Arabidopsis thaliana: one gene and its partner. The protein of the gene in region 1 interacts with the protein of each later gene in a pairwise test. Each region holds a gene or a part of one and is shown in the gene's direction. Other genes may lie near its edges. The genes, in order: AT3G11580 and AT1G63840.

Region 1 (5,362 bases):
CAGACGTACATGCAAAAAGGTGCCTCTAAATCGACCTGGAAAATCATGTCAGTTTGTCCTTCAGTGCCTCTTTTAATTATGCAAAACTAATATTTGACAATGACATATCTTAGACATAATTAACATGGATCACTACAAATTTTATTTTATTTTATATCACTTATTTTGAATCGATTAAGTGTGAGGAGAGGAGTGAAACACGTCAAATATAACGAATCTTATATCTTTGTTTTTTTTCTTTTATTCTTACAATTATCTTGGAATTTGGAAACCCTAGTTGTTTCGGCTATTTGTTATACTATTGTTATAACAGTCACAAGACTTGACCTCAACGAAAACTTTTACAAAACGTGAATTGGAAATTTTTACAAAATATGCTCTTAATCGTTAATGCTTCCCAATTAGGTGAGTTAAATTGTGAGAGGAACCATTTCTTAGAGGAAATGGTTCATGAAAACAAATATGAAATAGTATCACTAGTCTTAGTTTTGCGAGAAAATTAGGAAAAATAGAAACGTGTAAGCACCAATGATATTCCTGAAAGCACGTGACAGATATTTCATGATCCTATAATTAACAAGTGATAAAGATATTAAATAAAATTAACGATACTTGAGAAATTCGTCAAATAAAATAGAAGAGGACCACTCACGTAACCATTTGCACGTCCCATTGATTTTTGTGGTAGACTTGGTATGTTATATTACTTATATTCACAGAATTATATACGAAACTCACGACTTAAGATGCACGGTAATAACTACAGATGGAAATTTACCCATCAAACAAGAAAACAACATTTACTCAAGCATCTAGCTAGACCAAAATGTTTGTTTACTTGTTGACTTGCGATCCATAGATATATTAGTTAGAACTTTTTCTTCTACAATTGATCAAATGTTTCACACTGTTCTCAATTTCTCATCTAGATTCATGACTTATATGTTTGGTCAAATATCACAGCTTGATGAGCATTAAATAGCGTCGAAGTATAGGATGGTTACGTTGTTCAATATTGTAAAGGAAAAAAAGAGAAAGAGTGCCAAAAGGTCAAGTCGATTTCACAAATAAATCTTGAAGTCTTTATCCCTCTCGATTATAAAATGATTAGGAAAAGAAAAAGAGAGAATAAAATGTAGATAAAGAGAAAGAGAAAGAGAGAGAGGAACATAAGGGATGGTATGAAGTAGAAGTGAAGATGCATGCGATGGTGTGTCGGAAAGGCAAAGCACATGCTACACAACTTGAGCTTCTCACTTGCGTCAGGGATAAGTATCCTCTGTACCTTCTTACTTTTGCGTAATATGTACCACCTCACTTCTCAACCGTTTGATCTTTAATCCTTCATTATTTCTTCATTACCTTCTCTTTTTGTTTTTGTTTTCGTTTTCAATTTCTCATAGATTCATTTACAAACTAAATATCATAGGAAGGTGTTATCTCTAGTTAATTTCTTATCCTACTTTAACAAAATTTAATTGTCAAAAGATTATTTTTACGTTTATAGACAAAAGATACTGACACATCAATTCCACGAACCAAATGGTTGAGAAAAACAAAACGACTATCTTTGTCTTGCAAATAAATTAATGGCAGTTAGTAAGATTCTCAGCTGAAAATTCATACAAGAGTAAATGATCAAATAACCATTTATGAGAGAAATTTAATCCTTCAGAAACCAATGAGGATCTGATCAAGTAATTGCAAACCACATGAGTCCATGATAAAGGATTGTTTGACTTACGCAATCCACATATTTATGGCTGCTTGATATGTAAGGTTTATCTGCTTTGACAGTCTATAGAATCTTGCTAATCAATACGTCATATCCGGTGAATACTGAAACTTTTTTAATTAAGAAAACACAAATCATCTTTTCTCCGGAGGATTTCGAATTTAGTTCCGGCAATGCTGAAATAACATATGTTGAACTTATAACATTCCAAGACATCAAATTTTACTAATATATAAATAATTACATATTCTTCTTCTACATGATCAAAACCTTTTCAACTTTAATTAAAGGGTTACGTCGCGGCGTTTTGTGTGGCTTACTCTTTTTTTACACTATAACTATAGAACACTCGTGGATCCAATGCCGTTTAGGACAAGATTTTATCAGACGAGAAAAAAAAAAACAATACCACATTTTTAAATATATATGGATTATGGACTGCAACAACAATATAGAAAAGAAGAGAAAAAAATAAAAATAATGATTGAAAGGAAATATCATCACGCAAAACCTTAAAAGTACTATCGGTATCGTGTCGTCCTCTCCTCATCAAATAGTTCCCACAGTTTTCACATCAATTTAACCATTTTCAATTTTTTTCACTCTCTGTCTCTCTCCTTTGTATAATACTATATTAGTACCATTACCCATCTCTCTTTCACCACCAAACCAACACCTGCAAATCCTCTCTCTCTCTCTCACTCCAAGAAACCAAAAAAAAAGATGTCAGTCAACCATTACCACAACACTCTCTCGTTGCATCATCACCACCAAAACGACGTAGCTATAGCACAACGAGAGTCTTTGTTCGAGAAATCACTCACACCAAGCGACGTCGGAAAGCTAAACCGCTTAGTCATACCAAAACAACACGCCGAGAAATACTTCCCTCTCAATAATAATAATAATAATGGCGGCAGCGGAGATGACGTGGCGACGACGGAGAAAGGGATGCTTCTTAGCTTCGAGGATGAGTCAGGCAAGTGTTGGAAATTCAGATACTCTTATTGGAACAGTAGCCAAAGCTACGTGTTGACCAAAGGATGGAGCAGGTACGTCAAAGACAAACACCTCGACGCAGGCGACGTTGTTTTCTTTCAACGTCACCGTTTTGATCTCCATAGACTCTTCATTGGCTGGCGGAGACGCGGTGAAGCTTCTTCCTCTCCCGCTGTCTCCGTTGTGTCTCAAGAAGCTCTAGTTAATACGACGGCGTATTGGAGCGGCTTGACTACACCTTATCGTCAAGTACACGCGTCAACTACTTACCCTAATATTCACCAAGAGTATTCACACTATGGTAAATTCAAACCCTTTATTTCCTCTTTTGTTTTTTCTTTCTCTCTTATCTATATGTCAGATTTATACTCCTCTCTGTTCTCTTTTAAGATTTGTCTTTTTCATAAAAATAGATGATTCGTAATTTGTATTGCATATTTACATGTTCTCTTAAAAAAAGTAATAGAGATTAATATTTTATGCATGGTATTTTAGATTATCTGCCTACTTTATATGGTAGTAAACAAGAACATTCATCTTTATTTGGTTTTATAAACAAAATATGAGAATTTTTAAAGGTTAGGGCAAGCACTTGGAAAGCTCAACCATTTTAGTTAGCTGGTGGAATATCTTTCTTATAAAAAGCAAATGAGTTATCTAAAACTATATGACAATTATTTTAGTTGCGTGTGTAATGTATATAAAATAACAACATGAAATAACATTTTGTCTTTTATTTTTGTCATTCTTATTATTTAATTTTGGACCCGACAATTTCAAATAATCTTCTCCAAGTTGTAACTAATCCGTTACATGCGCGTGAGGAGAACCGTCCAATCCACTTAGACTAACGTGCCCTTTATTTCTTCCTTTTAATTCTATGTTAAAAAAACAATTTAACTAAAAGATGCGCACGTGTCTTGACGGTGGAAAAAAATTGTAGGCGCCGTCGTTGATCATGCTCAGTCGATACCACCGGTGGTCGCAGGTAGCTCGAGGACGGTGAGGCTTTTTGGCGTGAACCTCGAATGTCATGGTGATGCCGTCGAGCCACCACCGCGTCCTGATGTCTATAATGACCAACACATTTACTATTACTCAACTCCTCATCCCATGGTAAATATTTTTTTTTTTTACATTTTTGTCAGATTCAAATTTTTGCTTACGTATGATATAATTATTAAACAGATGTCGTGGCTGTTTCTCGAGACGAGACAGATGAAAATTAGTAATTTTAAAATAGACCTGAAAGAGATTTTTATGTTTAATAAATTATATAAAGGAGGAATCAGAGAGAATAATACTATACACTTGACTGTAAAACCACATGGCCAATTTGGTTTTTATTTGATTACTTTGATTTGTTTTGTTTACTCTTTTGTCTCTGTAGCCTCCTTTTGTTCATTAATTAATATCAGCCGTAAGTATATAGTTTCCTGTGAAAACAGTCTCTATTTTGGTTTTACTATTCTAATTTGTTAGGCACCGTCAGTTTTTTTTGTGAAACCAAATTATTGACTAATAAGCTGGAAAGCAAAACTGACTAAAAGCATTACAAACTTATCAATGACATAAGTTTTGAATTTATTACCATGTTTTGTAATGTTCAGATATAATTTGAAATGCTTAGAATTATATATTTGTATACTTAAATTAATGAAATAAAGTGAATACTAAAGATAGTTTTATTTTTCATATTATTCTATACAATTCGGTGTACAATTTGTTTTTGATGATAATAAAAATAATAAAATTGCGTGTTGGAATTGTGAAACAGAATATATCATTTGCTGGGGAAGCATTGGAGCAGGTAGGAGATGGACGAGGTTGATGACTGACATTCAAAAAGAAGTGACAACTTTCTAGATTTTTAACTTTAGAATTTAGATTATGGGCCCATACTTGGCCCAATTGTCATAGAGAAAAAATGGACAAGAATTAATATTATTAGTAGCTTCGTTATGTATTTAGTATTTAACTAATTTGAAAATAAAAATAAAAGATGAGATTTTGTTTCTATTGTACATTTGAGTCAGAACAGAAAAAAAAAGTATATGCAAAAGATGTGAATTAGTGTGGGTTTATAGTAGTTGATATTTGAAGGCTAAAATAAAACCAATGAAAGCTTTCTATAGCACAAAAGTCATTTGAGGGCAGGTACCCCAAATTGGTGAGCTAGGCCTAGGCTAAACCTTATACACATGTAGCATGTATTTGATGATGAAAGATGAATTGGGAACTGTTGAGAGATTCATGTGAGGAGATTACGAGAAGAAAAGGTGTGGGCCTAATTACGAATGATTAAAGAAGAGAGAGCATATTCATATATAGCATGTGTGTAAATATATAGGTTGTGTTACATCGCCTTTTATCTCTTTTCCAAAGCCAAAGCCAGGGACCATTTTATTTGTTGCTGTGTTACTTACACTCTTCTTTTGATTCTCTATTTTGTTTTTGCATTACAAAGACAGTGTAAAAGGAATATGAATCATTTTTACAAGCTATGACAAAAATGGGTTTAGGTCCCAATTCTTTCTATGCATTTATGTTTGTCTTCGTGTTTCTGCATATATATGAGTGTATTGGTAAATGGTAAGTGGCAACACAAACGCAAGTTTCTGTTTCTAT
Region 2 (3,571 bases), on another chromosome or scaffold:
GAGGTGGGTCAGTGCTGCTTTTGGCTCTTTCATTACATTAGTCAGATTCCCATATGACATGAGACTTTCGCTCTTCCTCAGAAATAGATCCCTTAATATTGTATTCTAGAAGTATATTTGACATAACGGAATCAAAAGCCAAATTGAAGAGCTATGTGGACTTTTCTACGTAATTAATTTAGGTCTTAATATACTTAGTATACACTCTCAAAATGCTAGTAATTAATATAGCAAATGACGAATATGTAGATTGATGATAGTTCAACTAGTCATGTAATGATGTGAAGATACAAACATAATATGCATTTGAACTCAAATCCTATCAACCATAAGTAACATTTGGGTACCCATATTTATACCAAAACGTAACAGCCAATTAAAAAATCTGGTAAAATTTCATAGAAAACGACGTAATCGTGATACCTTTGTTTACTACTAATCTTGATACTTTATGATTTACATCCATGTGAAAATAAAATCATGTAGACCAAAAATTTCTCATACAAAAACATTAAAAATAGAAATAATGGTTTTGCAATATTTTGTTAAAACAGTTAATTTTTTTAAAAAAATACACACGTATATATTCATAGTTTATATACTTTATAGGCTTATAGCATAGTTCAATAGAGGTACAGACAAACTGAAAAGAAATGAACCTAACTATCTGTCTTCACCTCGATTATTTGTCGTCTGTCTGACTATTTTAATTTAATTCTAATAATTTATGAATGTGACTAGTTTGGCTTATAGGCAAAGATCAATTTTTAGAGTGGGGTTATTGAATATTGTATTCTAACGGAATTGTATGTATTTTCAAAGACACGGTGACATCCACTGTCATTCAATTTCTATTTGATTTTGTTACATTTGAGTTTCAATGTATTATTTTGTCTAAATCACGAGTAAAACAAATACGAGCCTTTTATCTCTGATTTTGATGTATTTCTCATAAAAATTATAAACAAAATAATTATTCCCAAAATTGTTTTATTTCTCTTTCATCTAACAAAGAGATAAAGAATCAGAAGCATTTTGAGAACAATATAATGGCGAAGAAACTGCAAGATCCACCGATGGCATCTTCAAAATGGAGCCTTCGGCTTTGGAGGAGGAAGATCGTATTTTAAGAACAGAAATTCGATCATTCATCCAGATCTGATCCCTTATGTTGCAGTTCCCACTCTCTTTTTTTCTTTTCTTTTTTGCCATTTATGATGCAGTGACTCTTTGAACATGAGTGAAGTTCAAAGAGAACTCAGTCAAAATCCATACCAATTAACGATTAACACATTACAACGTAATACATAAGTCGTGTATTGTAGTGACTTTGTCAAAATCCAAATTCAGTTACGCTAAAATACATTGAAAACATCAATCCAATAATTTTGAACCAAAGATTCAAATAAAAACACGATTTTTTTTATTTTGTAATCGAACGATTTTGAACCAAAGTATAGACTAATTAATATTTGGGATTTTTAGAAAAGTTTAATATATTTAAACCCTCATGGGTTAACCTAGGTATGAGTTTTTTTTTTTCATTTGTAATATGTTGATTATGTGTATTCTTGGGTGCTATAAGCAGAAGTTACATTTCTGTCTCCGTATACCGTATTAAAAATAATGTATACTCAATTGTAAATATCTTTGATTATGTCATTATGTATTTCATGTATACATGTCTTTTCTCCTAAAACTTTTATACCACTTCATAAATCAAGAATTGTAAGAAAGTTAAAATTAAATAAACAGAAATTTAGTGTTTAAATCTGATTTAAAATGGAAATTTGAAAGTAACGAGTTTATTATATAGTAAAATACATATAAGAAATTATTTAAAACCCTTATTTAAATTATATAGAAAAAAAAAAGGTCAAGTAGTCTTCTATTATTTACTAGTATAACCTCTAGAAACATCATCACCACATTCCTGGCTAATATCCTTCATCTAGAACAATTATTAACGAATCAAAATACCAAAAAACAAAGCACCTCATTGACTATTAAATTAGTACTAATACATTAATTAAGTTATTATTCCTATATATAAATCTCACCCATTCTCCACCTTATCATCACAATCCAAAACTCTCTCTCTCTCTCTCTCTCTGTCTCTTGTCTTATCATTTATCTCTCTAACGGCGAGGCAATGGGTTTTCCGGTGGGATATTCTGAGCTACTTCTCCCAAAAATCTTTTTCTACTTGTTATCTTTCTTAGGTTTGATACGTAAACTCATCTCCACAATGTTCAAGATCATTGGTCTACCAGATTTCTTAGAACCTGAACCGGTTTCAACCTCATGGCCCGACCCACCACCCACGTTGACCAAACCTGACTCAGCAGCAATACTAGCCGGAGAGATGTTACCGGTTGTTCGATTCTCGGATATAAACCGACCGGAATCCGAGTGTTGCGCAGTGTGTCTCTACGATTTCGAGAACGACGACGAGATCCGACGGCTGACGAATTGTCGACATATATTTCATCGGGGATGTTTGGACCGTTGGATGATGGGTTATAATCAGATGACGTGTCCACTTTGTCGTACACAGTTTATACCTGATCATCTTCAACTGGAGTTTAATCAAAGGCTCTGGTCTCAATCTTCTGCTGTTTCTTCTCAACTTCTTGATGAATCATCATCTTAGGACGTATTAAATCTTTGTCCAAACAAAAAAAAAAGACATATTAAATCCTTTTTTTTTGGTACTTTCATTGGGAATTGGGTTTGGTGTGAGATCGATGTAAATATTAAACAAAAAAAAAAAGGTAGTGGTTACAGGTTAATGAAAAAAGAAAGAAGAAGAAAATTTGTACTTATCCATCCCTGAAAGATGAAATTACATTTTGAGTTATTATAAAGTTGTAAACTTTTTTTTTTTGTTAAGGAAAAAAAAAATCATTTGCTATAACAGATTAATACTGAATGTGTTAGTTTTTTAGTACAGTATTTTAATAAACATTGTTTAGAAGTTATTTTTTAATTGTTACTTGTTCACCTGGCTAACTCAATGATACTGACATATTGTTTTTTGATTAAAGGCTTACATCAATGATATCTTTCTTTTATAATTTAAAATCAACAAGCATTATGCATAGGTCATTGAAGATAAGATTGTTTGTTCATCCCTATAACATGCTGAACTAATATATTTCAACATGTATTTGAGGGTATTTGAAATGTTCTATAAGTGGTAATAACAAAACTGAAGTCGGAAACCGATATGATTATTCCCCACAAGTGCTAACATCATGTATTTAGGTTCTCATCCGATGACATGTCTTGAAAGAAGCAAAAATTAATGGCGAAATCGTCATGAATATAGATATATCTTGGACATTGCATTTGACTTTTGTTTGATCACGTCTCTCACAAAGGAGCTTGGTGTGTCCTTTACGATTTATCATGTGATCTATTGTGACAATGCTGGAGCTATCTATCTATGGGATAATCATTTTGTTTCATTCTTGTTTGAAACATGTGGCACTTGACTATCATTTTATCCTAATCATGTTTTTCACTCCCGGTTTCTTATGTATTGTTCATATTTCGTCAAAAGATCAAT

What was found.
Region 2: the proteins of AT3G11580 (region 1) and AT1G63840 interact in a two-hybrid assay, tested with the Arabidopsis thaliana proteins (one large-scale study listed by BioGRID).

What each region holds. Positions count from the first base shown.
Region 1 is NC_003074.8:3,648,368-3,653,729, reverse strand, and holds AT3G11580 (AP2/B3-like transcriptional factor family protein), read left to right. Parts: upstream 1-2,240; 5' UTR 2,241-2,458; coding exon 2,459-3,035; coding exon of another isoform or gene 3,036-3,151; exon of another isoform or gene 3,152-3,677; coding exon 3,678-4,216; 3' UTR 4,217-4,511; coding exon of another isoform or gene 4,512-4,565; 3' UTR 4,566-4,770; downstream 4,771-5,362.
Region 2 is NC_003070.9:23,689,073-23,692,643, reverse strand, and holds AT1G63840 (RING/U-box superfamily protein), read left to right. Parts: upstream 1-1,836; 5' UTR 1,837-2,152; coding exon 2,153-2,653; 3' UTR 2,654-3,041; downstream 3,042-3,571.